Linked DNA regions of Coturnix japonica. The protein of the gene in region 2 interacts with the protein of the main gene of each other region in a pairwise test. Links are inferred from orthologs where the notes say so. Each region holds a gene or a part of one and is shown on either strand. Other genes may lie near its edges.

The links.
Region 1: the proteins of FHL2 (region 2) and CCDC92 interact in binary tests that used the Homo sapiens proteins (3 or more experiments, as listed by UniProt). The two-hybrid records come from large-scale screens. The link is inferred for Coturnix japonica from reciprocal best matches to the Homo sapiens genes FHL2 and CCDC92.
Region 3: the proteins of FHL2 (region 2) and DCP1A interact in binary tests that used the Homo sapiens proteins (3 or more experiments, as listed by UniProt). The two-hybrid records come from large-scale screens. The link is inferred for Coturnix japonica from reciprocal best matches to the Homo sapiens genes FHL2 and DCP1A.
Region 4: the proteins of FHL2 (region 2) and JUP interact in binary tests that used the Homo sapiens proteins (3 or more experiments, as listed by UniProt). The two-hybrid records come from large-scale screens. The link is inferred for Coturnix japonica from reciprocal best matches to the Homo sapiens genes FHL2 and JUP.

The regions. Positions count from the first base shown.
Region 1 is NC_029530.1:4,125,607-4,129,271, forward strand, and holds part of CCDC92 (coiled-coil domain-containing protein 92), read left to right. Parts: intron 1-164; 5' UTR 165-185; coding exon 186-315; intron 316-601; coding exon 602-643; intron 644-1,691; coding exon 1,692-2,467; 3' UTR 2,468-3,633; coding exon of another isoform or gene 3,634-3,651; 3' UTR 3,652-3,665.
Region 2 is NC_029516.1:121,913,016-121,917,120, reverse strand, and holds the start of FHL2 (four and a half LIM domains protein 2), read left to right. Parts: upstream 1-1,253; 5' UTR 1,254-1,380; intron 1,381-4,005; exon of another isoform or gene 4,006-4,105. UniProt on the Homo sapiens protein: May function as a molecular transmitter linking various signaling pathways to transcriptional regulation. Negatively regulates the transcriptional repressor E4F1 and may function in cell growth.
Region 3 is NC_029527.1:4,964,635-4,968,299, reverse strand, and holds part of DCP1A (mRNA-decapping enzyme 1A), read left to right. Parts: intron 1-866; coding exon 867-986; intron 987-3,665. UniProt on the Homo sapiens protein: Necessary for the degradation of mRNAs, both in normal mRNA turnover and in nonsense-mediated mRNA decay. Removes the 7-methyl guanine cap structure from mRNA molecules, yielding a 5'-phosphorylated mRNA fragment and 7m-GDP.
Region 4 is NC_029542.1:4,295,964-4,298,395, reverse strand, and holds part of JUP (junction plakoglobin), read left to right. Parts: intron 1-41; coding exon 42-186; intron 187-650; coding exon 651-754; intron 755-1,250; coding exon 1,251-1,589; intron 1,590-1,863; coding exon 1,864-2,019; intron 2,020-2,112; coding exon 2,113-2,232; intron 2,233-2,348; coding exon 2,349-2,432. UniProt on the Homo sapiens protein: Common junctional plaque protein. The membrane-associated plaques are architectural elements in an important strategic position to influence the arrangement and function of both the cytoskeleton and the cells within the tissue.

The DNA of each region.
Region 1 (3,665 bases), on a different chromosome or scaffold from region 2:
TGAAACAGGAAAACCTTTTACTTGTGTGGCACTTGCATGGTTGCATATCAATTCATTAATGGTATCATTCAGCTGATTCTGTTGGACCAGGCTGCAGAGTGAGGCTCTTTATATGTATGTATCTGCAAGTGAAGTCACTGATACAGTTCTGCCTCTGCCCACAGACAGAGTCACTGCATGCCAGGATGGCAACGTCAAACCTGGAGAACCAGCTGCACAGCGCCCAGAAGAACCTCTTGTTTCTCCAGAGAGAACATGCCAGCACCCTGAAGGGCCTCCATGCCGAGATCCGGCGCCTGCAGCAGCACTGCACAGGTACCTGGGGAGGGTGATGGTGCTGGTGCTGGTGCTGGGTTTGTCTCTTCCCACAAGGATGGGGAAAGTGCTGGGCAGTAGAGCCCATCACAGTGTGTGCTTTGGGTTTATGTATCTCAGGGCATGACAAGTGTGAAATAAAGAAAATTCTTTGCTCAATGATTAAAAAAAAAAACCACCTGTTACCTTCTTGTTCTGGTTGCTCAAGATTTGATAACATGCAGCACATCTCCGTTATTTTAAATATGCTTGTTCTAAAAAATAAAGTAACTATTTCTTCCCCCAGACCTGACCTATGAGCTGACAGTGAAGAGTTCTGACTTGTCAGGTAAGGAACACGTAGCATTCTTCTTTAATGTTCATGTTAAACTGCCTCGTTTCTTAATGTTTTACTTTCTCTGTTACAAGTAGCTGAGAATACTTTGCATATGGGATATTGTTGACTATAAATTCAAATGGTGCAAGAGTAGTTTTCTCCTTTCCAGAATCATTGTTATCAATGAACTAACCACCATCCACAAACTGGAGCATTAACTCTTTAACTCCCAGTGCATTACACAGTGTTACAGTTTGGAATATTGATAACAACAACCATAAAACCTTGACAATAAGTTTAACAAGGTCACATAGGAGATGTCTGAGAGATCCAGGAATAGAGTGTAGAACCACTGACTGCTTTCTTTTAATAGACAGTCAGTTCCCAACAGGCTTTATGGGAACATGAATTTTAGCAGCAGGAGTGAGGCTGTTTAATTAGAAGTTAGCTCGCATAGCTGCTAGTCAGCTCAGCTGCATTATGTTATCAACAAGTGAAGCAGAGGAATTAATTAAATGCTCCCTGGGAGTAACCTCCTGAATCTGGGCTACTGCAGGACAATGTATGTCATGTGAGTAAGAGAGAACATGAATATTTAGCAAAGCAAGTGAGGAACTGCATGGGTTCAGCATTATTTCATAATACTGCAGTGCTGCTCAGATGCTTTTCATCACAGGATTTTCAGAGTAGGTGGTTTAATAGTGATGTTCACTGTTGTCCACTATGAACAACATCTAACAACTTATAACTGAGAGTCTTAATGGTCAGAGAATTTGCAAAATAGCTCCAATTTGGAGCAAGTTCTGCAAGCATGATTTCTGTAATCTGTTCTCCTCAGTGAATGAAGCATCTTTTAAATACAGTCAGTGGCACAAACTCTTCACCTTTTCCTGTAAAAGCCATCCTGCTGCTTCTGAAGATGAAGTAATTGCTACGGTATTGGCAGAAGTTGGTCTTTGGGCTCTTCCTGTGGCCTTGGAATGCCAAAAGGAACCCTGCTGCAGCAGTTTTCTTAATGACAGCTACTAACTTTGAAATGCTTCTGCTTTTCCTGTTCTAGGAAACATTAGTTCAAGAAGTGATGAACTCAAAAGAAAGTGTGAAGATCTTGAAGCTCAGCTGAAAGCCAAAGAGGCTGAAAACAATGAATTATTGAAAGAACTTGAACAAAAGAATGCAATGATAATGGTGCTGGAAAACACTATTAAAGAAAGAGAAAAGAAGTATTTGGAAGAGTTAAAAATGAAAAGCCATAAGCTCAATATGCTGTCGAGTGAACTAGAGCAGAGAGCGAGCACTATTGCTTATTTAACTTCTCAACTGCACGCTACTAAGAAGAAGCTGATGAGTTCAAGTGGGACTTCAGAGGGGACCCCTTCAGGCAGTCCAGTGTTGTCCAGCTATAAGCCAGCCCCTCCCAAAGATAAACTGCCTGAGACTCCACGGCGCAGAATGAAGAAGAGTTTGTCAACACCACTCAACCCGGAGTTTGAAGAGGCCTACAGAATAGGATCCGATAGTCGGAAGCTGCTGTTAAGAGAGCATGTGGATGCCATGCCTGATCCCACTCCGTTTCTGTTGGCCAGAGAAACATCAGAGGTCCATCTTATTAAGGAGAGGCCGCTGGTTATTCCACCCATTGCTTCGGATCGAGCATCGGGTGAATCGCAGAGCCCAGCCCGAGAGAAGCCACACAAGGCACACGTTGGAGTGGCACATCGCATCCACCACGTCGCGCCCTCCCAGCCTCAGCCAGAGGTTGAAACGCTGGCGGTGGATCAGGTCAATGGAAGCAAGGTGGTCAGAAAGCACTCAGGGACAGACAGAACTGTTTGAGTCAAATCACTGTTGCCCTTTTCTGTTGCTGTTTATGCACTGTGATCCTATAGGATAAATAGCACCTGCAGTAAAGTTTCTTTTTGATGCCCCATGCATGCCAAACTTCTTCCAGATACATCATTAATAGATTATCCTCCTCTATTGAAACCTACTAGGACTGTGTTCATATGGCAAGGTATATAACTACTAAATGCTGTGGCCAAATCAGGGGTACCTGACTGCTTGCTTCTGAGCACTGCTCCATTTATTGTATTTACACATGTGGACAAAGGCACATGCTGCAGGCTGTGTTATTAATATTAGTGAGAACAAACTTACCTATAAACCTGCAGCAATACGTATTGGCTGTTAGCATTTGAATAGCAATGGTTCTTTTGTCTTCACTGTGTATGTAGCACTTACTTCATACACAAGCATTGACTTTCATGACAAAGCCTTCCTCATGGTAGCATTGGAAATCCATGTGGCTGTACATACACTTTAAAACAAACTAAGGACTTTTTTTTTCCTTCAAAAGCTATCAGTTGTGAACTGTGTTGATAGTTTCTCAAAGTCCTGAGAGTCCCAGTAAGCATTGTTCAGCCCTAAATGCTTTGGTTTGTGGCTCTAAGCAAAAAATGAGGAAGGAAGGTGGAAAATCACTGTCTTCAATGGTTAATGGTCCTCTCAGAGTATGAACACATTGGTTTTGTTTGTATTTTTAAACTGAGTGGCATCATTTTACACTAGTCAGTCAGTGCACTGCACTTGTGGCACCTTCCATACTGGCTGAGAGCTCCTTTTTTTCAGGGAGAAAATGTACCTGGCTGTCCTGTATGAGAACGGTTCTTTATGCTCTGACCTGCACTTTGTTTTGTAAAGGTTGTTGGGTTTTTTTTCTTGAAAAGATGAGACTTATTCAGGGTACTGTGGGCAGTTCTGACTTATAGTAGCTTAGAAGCCGGAGCTGTTCCTCTGAAACATGTGTGCTCAGTTTTAAATGTAACTGACTTACCCGCTTGTTACAAGAGGAGAACCTGGCATCCCTGATTTTATCCTAGTCAGTTGGGATGCACTTGCCTTGTACCTGTCCTGGTTCCCCTGTCAAGTTAGCAACAGGCAGACCCTGCATCTGTTGTTAGGCTACTTGATTTCTGTTCCTTCTTTTTGTTCTTTTTTTCTAGGAAAGAAAGGCATACTGAGAGCTGTGCGTACG
Region 2 (4,105 bases):
GCTAAAACCATAAAACCTGACTGGGCTCCAAATCAAGCCATAAATCCATTTGTCATGTCAAAAACCCTGGCACAAATTTTGTGTCCGTATCCAGTCTCCACAGCTTGACCAAACAAAGTGTTCAGAGAAGAACTGGGAGGTGACACGACCTCCTAAAAACTATTGAACTACCAACAATTTGAGGAGAAGGGGATGTAGAGAACGGGGCATTCTTTGGGACCGTGGAAGTAATAGATAAATCCAACAGAGAGATTGATGGCAGATAATCCTGCTTCAGGCAGGAGAAGAAACAACAGATAATCTCAGTTTAAAAGCGTAGTATTTCTTCTAAGACATATGTTGCCGTGTAAGGGAGAGTCATTTTTCTGCACCTAGAGGTTGCCCAATGCTCTTTCTTCATCTGTGTGTTGAAGAGGATTACCTTTTCTTCTTCTAAAAAGCAAATTAAAATAGTACAACATTCTGATCAAGGACCACAACTGTGCTGCATCTTGCTCTGTAGAAACACATCAAAATATAGAGATGGATCCATTATGGGCAAAGAGCTAGGATGCAGTCCTGATTCTGCACTGAGCCTTGTTTGGGCAGTTTCATCTCTGCAGCCAGAAGGGCAGTGCCCACAGGATCTGCTGGAAGACCTCTCTTTTACCTCTAATCTCTCACTCCTTATATGTATGAGTGTCCCCTACACCTCTGCTCTACACCTCCCTTGCAGAGAGCAGGGGCCCAGCAGGGAAAGCAGGCTCCTGAGCTTTGAGGCCTCTGCCCATACCCACTGATTTGTGACCACTGATTTGTGCTGCCACTGTCTTCCCCTGGGATCAAATAGAGCACAATGAGGCAGACAGACCACCCTGCAGTGAGGCTGTATGCCTGGGATGGACAGACAAACAGATGAAGGGGAGTTGGAGTTCACCGCATCCACAGAGCAGCTGGCATTTCTGTTAATCCCAGAGCCTTGGGGAATAATCTGATGGAGAAGTTAGAGTTGCTTATAGCTCAGTGAAAATATCAAATCATATAATAGTTCTGGCGTTCTGAGGAACACTCGCAGGAACTCCTGAAAGTAGGTGAGTGTATTTTGAGATCCAGCACTCTGAAATGGAGCAGGTCAGGAGGACAGCAGCCCTTTCCATTGGGGGCCTTGTGTTGCTATATCTGTGATGCCTTAAAAGGCCGGTGGCACAGAGGTACTGCAGTCCTTATCTCCTCTGGGTGCCTGGGGCTCTGGAGATATTATATTTATAGCTCATCTGAAGTACAAATGTCTGTCTAATTACTAAATACATAGTGTGGGTAATCCAATGAAGCCACGAGTCCCTGTGTTTGCTCCCATCCTTCGCGCTCTCACAAACAGAGGCACCACCGAGCTGCAGCAAGGTAAGACAGTGACCAGTCTGGATTATACCATCCTTTGGCCCCTTTTCTTCTTTTCACCTTCCCTCTGTAACAGGGGCTGGAAGTTTCTTAAGGCTTTGGGCAGATATCACAAGGGGAGGGCTTCTTTCTTACCAGAAAAGGGGATTTTCGGTTGTTTGTTCGTTCCTTGTTGCCAGGGCACATACAGAGCATCTGACTTTGTATTTCCAGCCTGTTGTTGGGAACCAGGTGCTAAATAGCAGCTGTTCTTTAGTTTCTGCACTAATAATATGCTGTCGTTTCCATGTTCTCAAGGAATACAACCATGTCTAACTATAGACACTTTCCTGGTTTGAATAGAAAACTGAATGACTTCAGGCGGAAAGTGTGTGATTAGTGTTCTTTTTTCCTCTCCATCAGCATTTTCTTCTTTATGAAAGTGGGGAAAAATAGAGGGCAGAAGGAACATTTTATTTTTTTCCCTCTTTGAGACCATTTCCTAACAGCCTGCAAGGAAAGAAAGCCAAATCACAAGCGATGCTTGTTGATTTCTTGTTTAAACAATTGCTTGATATGGGTTACAGCAGCTGTGTGAAGAGGGAAAAGAAAGAAAAGCACTAAAACATGTCTGCGTATGAAAGCACAAATTCTTCAGAACCAGACTATAAAATAGCATTAGCAATAACTGCCAAATGCCAATTATCAGGCCATTGTTACATTAAATTACTTTTAACCTCATCTCATGAGAGCATTAATTTTCAAATGAAGCCAATAAAAGAAGACCTCTTGGGAAAAATAAGATTGTTTGTGCGTACGCATATATGTGTTTGGATGAATTTGTGCACACATTTTTAATATAAAAATCCTTATAAGGAAAATCTCTTTCATCCAGCGACCATGAAGAGTGATACAAAGGTGATATTTACTTTTAGTCCAAGAACTAAAACTATCACATTTTAAGCTAGAATTTGTTTATTGTGTTAGGAAATGAAATGAAAGGAGTTATTTTGTGGTGGCTTATTTTTCCAAAATACTGAGCAGCCATTGTTCAGTAGGCTTTGACAGGACCTCAGGCCCCTATCAACCCCAGTTGAGCCAAACCTAAGGCTCATGTAAATTGTCACCTCACTTCAAAGCTCTAGGAATTGACCTCAATCCCTAAGTGGAGATTTAAAAGGCAAAAGGATAGGCCGTTAGCTGATCCCAAACTGCTGGAGATCTGCTGACTTTAGCTGGGACGTGGATTTTCACATCAAATGTTGACTGAACACATCAGCATGAAGAAGTTGAATCCAGTCTCAGGGCTGTCTCTGCCCCCATTACAGCAGTACATGCAATACCCTCTGCAATGCTCTGAATCCAGAATCTGAATATCCGTGCCATTACATGCTTCTTGTATCAAAAATACAATTACCAAAATAGCCACATAGATGGGACTCACTCCCAAATGGGAGAGCCCAAGCTGATGTTTGCTCAGCTGGCTAGAGAGATCATTGAGTTGCAGTACCTGGGAGTACCCTGAGGTCTTCTCTGATTCATGACATAGATGTGGCTTATCAGTCTGCTCCCATGTTTCCATCTTCCACTGAGTAGGATATCACTGACAGTGTGTTTGACCTCATTTAGCTTGTCTTGTCTGGGATGTGCTCTCCAGGCTTCCTCTGGCAGGGGGTGATGACCATTAGTGTAGACTGTGTTGAGACAGTGAGCTTAAGAACAAGCTTGTTCCATCTTTTATGTGAAGAACAGAACATAATTTCATCAGAAATAAAAGAAAAAAAGTGATAAATACCAAATAGTCTGCACATGTCTATCTTATCTAAAGGCTTACTATCCCCTCAAGAATGCTTTGGAAGGCTTAACTTCTTCAAACACCACAGCTGATACTTCTGCACATCCCTATGTTCTACTGCACTTATGGTCTGTCCTGCTCAGTTCCATACACGGCTCTGATCTACTTGTCCCTAGTGCTGATGAAATGAGTTTTGTAAATTGGCTACAGACCAAAGGTAGCACTTCCTACCAACGATTGCAACATTGGCTCTGCGTGGGCCACCAGCACATGTTGGGAGCTACCCTAGCCAGATTTGCTGCTCCCCTTGGCCATTTTTTTCCCAGGATCCTGCAGTTATGTTCAACTGATGTGCAGAGTGTAGTAAATTGAGCACCGAAGAAGTTGTGTGTGAAAATAACATTTTCATGTCCTCAAATTCTTTGCCTATCATTCAGGTCTAAGACTAAAACAATAGGAATAAAACAACTATTCTGGTTGGATTCTTAGTGTTAAATTATCGTTGTTGCTACACAGACAGTGTTCCCCCTTAAAAACAAAACAAAACAGAACAAAACAAGAAAAGCAAAAGTAGCATTCCAATCATGTGCAGCAAAACATCAGTGTTGCTTGTTGTTTTTTTCTAAACACTAGCCCAAGATATTTAGCTTGAAAAAATGCAGGAACATGCATACGAGTGCAGATTTTTCACCAGATTTGAATTTAAAAGTGAAATAAAACAAAAAGGCCAAAAGCTTGTTCCCAAAGCGAACCCATGCTGAAGGCAGTCTTTCCAACAATAATACTTTGTTCTTACCTAGCATTTTAATATATGATTAATGGGTGAATATCTTTACTTATTCCTTTCCAAACAGCAAACCATCAGAACAATGCAGACTTTTGATTGCAGCTGGCAGGAGGCTGGGAGTGGGAAGACTCATTCAAACCCTTCCTTAATACAGAAAATATAAAAGG
Region 3 (3,665 bases), on a different chromosome or scaffold from region 2:
ATTGCAGATTATCCTCTTGTGAAGGGAAACACTGTGTTTTGTTTCTGTAACTGTAAGGCAGTCCACAATTTCGGGCCCCAAAAGAGACCTTTGAAGTTAGCGGCTAAAACACATAAAGACAGGAGTTGTTTGTTTCTGTCCATAGATAATTTTGATTTTGTATTTATTCCTCTCGAATATTTTTAGAAAACATAAATAAAGCTCAGATTGTTTCTAACTTCTTGTTGAAAGGTTTAGCCTGTATTTTGTTGCTGTAACAGGTAAGTGACAAAAGAGATTGTGTGTTGTGCTGATGTTGAGCTCTGTCACAGGGGTAAGGTGTAGTTCACCTGAATGCCAGGCTGCTGGTCCTACAGTTGCTTTTCCTCTGTGCTTTAAACTGTAATAAATATTGTTTACTTATGTATTTGTTGAATATGGAAATCAACACAATCTGTAAAGAGTTTGTAAACTTACTGTCTGTGACTTCCTTGTCCTTTTAGCTTTTTTCACCTAAAACCCAGTTAACATCTTCCGAAAATACTTGCACGTTATTAAAATCTAGTGAAAATAAGTCACCAACAAGCTCTTTATCCAATCACTCTAGAATGATTTCTGACAAAAGCTTTTTTGTAAGTTGCTTTTAGTATGAAGTTCTTGATTTAATATCCTCCTTAGCAGCTAATGTGGGAAAAGAATATGGAAAGCCTGTCTTTATTTTCTTTTATTTTCTCCTTTGAAAATAAAAAGAAAAGCATCATGAACACATGCCAGATGTTGTATATTTTGGTATGATATTATTTCCTGAAACGTGGAAATTCTGCAGTATCTGTCAAAAGTCAGTATTTTGACCAAAGTGTATCTGTATTTATTTTTTTTTTCCCCAGAATCAGAGCAATGATTTAAGTGTCGCGTCAAGTTCTGGTGTACAGCAACATGCAAATCCCACAAAGCCAGAAAGCACAGAGACTTCAGAACAAAACACTTCATTACAAGTGCAAGATCAAGTAAGTTTAATTCAAAAGTATATAAGGTACTGCTTCTTTATTTAGTACCAAAAATGCCTGCAGCATCACTTGCTGAATGTTTTGTGCTTAACTTTAAAATAAACATATTTGGAAGTGTAGATTCAGTTTAAGAATGGGTTTTAGTATCTATTCTCATCTCCTGACTGTGCTTGTCTGAGATCAGCTGGTATGATTCATCACCTCCACCCCCACTTAGATAAACCAGTGGGTTTTAAGACTCTTAGGAGCCTACAATCCATTTTTCATCTTAATGCTTAAAAATATAAGATGGTGTCTGCGCTACTCTGAATATTCAAATGTATTTAAATAGGTTAACTTAGAATCTGGACTGTCATGGACTCTATGCTGTCAGTCAGTGATAGCATAGAGGTCTGTGTGAGATGACTGCAGAGTGAGGAAGCAGACAAAATTACCTCTGTCACAGTGACAGAGTGAATATGGCATCAGTCAGTTGTATGCTGTGCTGTAGACTTGAAAACAGAAGCTCAAGCCCTCCCTTTCCCACGTTTGAGACCTGTACTTAAGGTCTGTCCATGCTGCCTCCTAACCTGTAGCTATACTCCTGGTAACTGAAATCATTGGTGAATTGCTGGATTTTCTGTTGGTTTTTTTTTCTGTTTTAGATTTCAGCTTTGCCTTCCTTCTTTGGCAGTAAGGAATATCTCCCAAAAATTTTTTCATCAATGTCAGTAAATGATGTTGCTCAAGTTTATGGTAATTTAATTGCGTGTACAGTGCTTAGATCTGTTTCAGGTAAATGTTAGATGAATGTTCAGTCAGCATCTATCTACGTACTTTCAGATTCTAAAGCCTACTGCTACTACTGTAACTGAAGATTAAGCCACAGTTGTTTTTTGTTTTATTAAAAATAAAAAGCTAGTGAGAATAACCTGTGCTTCACTTAATTGTCTTTGAACCATGGGAAACTTTATATGAAGTAGTATAATCACTGGAGTGGTTGAAATATGGGCTGCAGAAGTTTGATTGACTTCTTTTTCTTGTAAGGGTATATAAACAAGGGACCTGTGGCTTCATACAAAACTTTCTAGAAATTTGTTTTAAAATAATAATTTGTGCTACATCTAAATTCTCTGTATCAACTTGTACCTGCTTACAGTGCCACCCAGTGGGGACAGAAAGATCAGGAGCAGTTCTCTGTATAAAATACCCCGCTGAGGTGACCTGGAAATGTCTGCCTCCAGGTCCTTCCTGTAGCTTTACTGTTATGTTTTGAATGCAGTAAACCTTCATTTCTGAAAAAGGAAATGCCTGAGCAGAATGTGTGCAACCTTACATTTAATACTTGTAGACAAAATATTTAATTTGTAGTAAAAATAAATAATTACTAGTTCAGGTTAGGATATGAGTAGCAAAAAATTTGTTTATGTTGATGAGTTAAAACAGGAGGTGAAGGGAAGCTTCATGGGATTGCTGGCTGTCACAGTGCCCTCCACCATCTCAACAGCACTTCTGATTTAGAACCAGCACAAGTGATAGACTGACCCCTGGCAGCCAGCTCTGATTGCTGCATGCTTGTGCTTGAGGCCTGGAAGCACATAATTAGCTGAACTTGCCAATCAGTAATAAGTAACAAAGGAAAAAATCAGAAAGGTAAGATTCTAGTAAATTGAAACGAAATAATTAACAAGTTTACAGAACAGGTAAAGCAAAGTACTTTAGTGCCTTTTCTGTTGAGTAATTTAAAACTGTAGCTGCACAGATACTGGGGGGAGAAAAGCTGGTTACTGTACATGATACTTTACTTTTGTGAAGCTGGATGGGTTCAAATACAGTATGGAGATGTTTGTTCTCAATTTCATTTTTAATAATATGAACTACTGGAAGAATGAAAAAATCACTGTTTCAATGGTAAGAGGACATTTTCACCTCATTAGAGCAAATGACCAGTGAAATTAAAAACTACTGTACGTTTAAGTACTGTGAGATTCTGAAACCCCTCCCAGGATGTCACATTTGTATGTTGGTTTCATGTGAAGGATGTCACAGATTGGGGAATGGAAAATCAATGTCTGTTCTGTGGTATTTAGAAGTTCAAGTTATGTATCCAATTCTAAAAGAATTCAGTTGTATCATAAAATGTTTTTGTACCAGTGGTCAGCAAAACTGAACTAGGACACTGAAATTAAATGTATTAGTGCCAACTCTGGCTGCTAATTCACATGTCTCAATGTATCTGAAATGATTTCTGGAGATACCCTCTGGGCAACACTCTGTTCCTATCAAGTAGAATGATTGTGTTACCTTCTTTGCAAGCGCCTGCAGAAGAAGGGTCTCCATAACACAGTGAGCTGATTACATGCTTAAAATACACCTCAGCCAGAGATGAGACAAGAAAAGGAATGTGTTGTGTACCTCATGTTGGAAATCAACCCAATGTTCGTGACTGTATTCATGTGAGCGGCTAATCTGACTAGGATCAGAGCATGGTAGATAGCAATGAGTTAATAAAGAGAAGCTAGTTAATTCATCATACTGAGGTTAAAAGCAGAATTTCAGGTGGAAGAGTTAGTTTTCTCGTAACAGATCTTTTGTCCTTGAAGAATGGGTCTCTAAAATGATACGGTTAGTGGAGAAAATTTGAGAACAGCTTCATAGGAAGAATTCCTAGCATAGGAATTAACGAGGTTTGCGGCAGTA
Region 4 (2,432 bases), on a different chromosome or scaffold from region 2:
TGCCCACACCCTGGCCCTGACCCTGCCCCCTTACCTTGCAGCTGATTATTTTGGCCAACGGAGGCCCCCAAGCCCTGGTGCAGATCATGCGCAGCTACAACTATGAGAAGCTGCTGTGGACCACCAGCCGGGTGCTCAAGGTGTTGTCAGTCTGTCCCAGCAACAAACCTGCCATCGTCGAGGCTGGTAAGAGCTCTGGGGCCGCCTCCTGAACTCTGTGGGGTTTTGGGTTGATGCTGTTCGCCCTCCCATAGCACTGACTGCCCCTGGCTGCTTGCTGCCCACCCCTCTGTGCAGTGCAGCCCCTGGGGCCCCAAGAAAGAGTGATACTGCTGCATCCCTCCCACGGGCAGCTGCCCTGTGTGGCACGCCAGTCCTTGAGCTGCCGGGTCCCACCGCCCATGTCCGGGTCTGTGTCTGCTGAGGCACTTTCTGGGGCTGTGTGTGGGCAGGAACCGGCCTGGCTGGCGGGCAGGAGCTGCTCTGCTCCACATTTAGCAGTCAGCCTCTGCTGAGCGACGTGCTGCGTTGGAGGCGGCAGCCGGGTGGCACCCAGCCTGTACTCGCTGTGCAGTGCCACGGCTCCGTTTCCTCTCTGCCGGGAGCTGCATGTCTGTATTTATAGACCCAGTGTCTCGTGTCTCTGGCAGGTGGCATGCAGGCTCTGGGCAAGCACCTGACCAGCTCCAGCCCCCGGCTGGTGCAGAACTGTCTCTGGACCCTGCGAAACCTCTCTGATGTGGCCACCAAACAGGTGGGTCTGGGGGCTGCCGCGTTGTGTTCAGCTCAGCTTTTTGGGGAGCTCCTCCCAGCTGTGCCTGGGGTCAGTGCCACCTCTGTGGAGCCCCGTGCCCATGCCAGCCTGATCCTGAAGTGCTGTCCTTACTTTGCTCTGCATCAGCAGCATCCCCAGGCACCCTGATCTTGCAGCTGCCTTCTCAGCTCTCGGCCCCATGAGGATGCAGAGCCCGAGGGGTGCCCAGGGCTCAGCTCTGAGCTCTTCCAGCCGTTCATCACCTCCTGATGCGTTCCCCATGTGCTCGGGTTGCAGATTAGCTCCTGATGCAGTGTGGAAACTATTTGTGCTGGCGGTGGAAGTGTGCAGCCGGGTCCCCTGGCTCTGGCTGCAGCACTTTAACCCCTTCCTGGCACTGTCTGCACAGCTGGGGCCAGAACTGTAGTCACTATGGGATTGTTCAGAGTCAGGATGGAGGGAGAAGCCGCTCTGACCCCTGTCTGTGCTTCTGCAGGAGGGTCTGGATGGAGTCCTCAAGATCCTGGTGAACCAATTGAGCTCTGACGACGTCAATGTGCTGACCTGCGCCACCGGCACGCTCTCCAACCTGACCTGCAACAACAGCAAGAACAAGACCCTGGTGACACAGTCCAACGGGGTGGAGGCGCTGATCCACACCATCCTGCGGGCGGGCGACAAGGAGGACATCACCGAGCCGGCCGTGTGCGCCCTGCGGCACCTCACCAGCCGGCACCCCGAGGCCGAGATGGCACAGAACTCCGTGCGGCTCAACTACGGCATCCCCGCCATCGTCAAGCTGCTCAACCAGCCCAACCAGTGGCCGCTGGTCAAGGTGAGGGGTGGGGGGGGCTGCGGGGAGCTGCAGCTGGAGCCCAGCGCACCGGCTGCTGTGTTTCCGTCAAGCTAATGGCTGCTAATGGGAGGAAATTGCTCGTGCTCTGCTGCTGCGGTGAAACCCACCCTCACCCCCCGCTGTGGGGGTGTAGGATCCGGTGCAGGAGGATGCAGGAAGCCGGAGGCAGCGTGTGCTGCGGGGGGGCTGTGGGTGGGCTGCGGGGTGCCCTGTGCCTCTGCTCTCTGTCTGAATCTCTGTGCCCTCGTTGCAGGCCACCATCGGGCTCATCCGCAACCTGGCCCTGTGCCCGGCAAACCACGGCCCGCTGCAGGAGGCGGCCGTCATCCCACGCCTGGTGCAGCTGCTGGTGAAGGCTCACCAAGATGCGCAGCGTCACGTGGCGGCTGGCACACAGCAGCCCTACACGGTGAGTCCCCAAGCGGGGTGGGTGTCTGTCCCCACGCTCAGTGCATGGTGGGACCATGGCATGGGGACCCTCTGAGCACACATCCCCTCACAGGATGGTGTCAAGATGGAGGAGATAGTGGAGGGCTGTACAGGAGCGCTGCACATCCTGGCCCGGGACCTCATGAACCGCATGGAGATCTTCCGGCTCAACACCATTCCCCTCTTTGTGCAGGTAGGGGCTGGGACACGGGGCTGTGCCGTGCCACCTCCCAGCTGCTGGGAGTGCACATGTCCATGTAGGGCTGCACTGGGGACACAGTCTCACACCGCCCTGTTCTCTCCCGGCAGCTCCTCTACTCACCAGTGGAGAACATCCAGCGCGTGGCAGCCGGCGTGCTGTGCGAGCTGGCCCAGGACAAGGAGGCTGCTGAT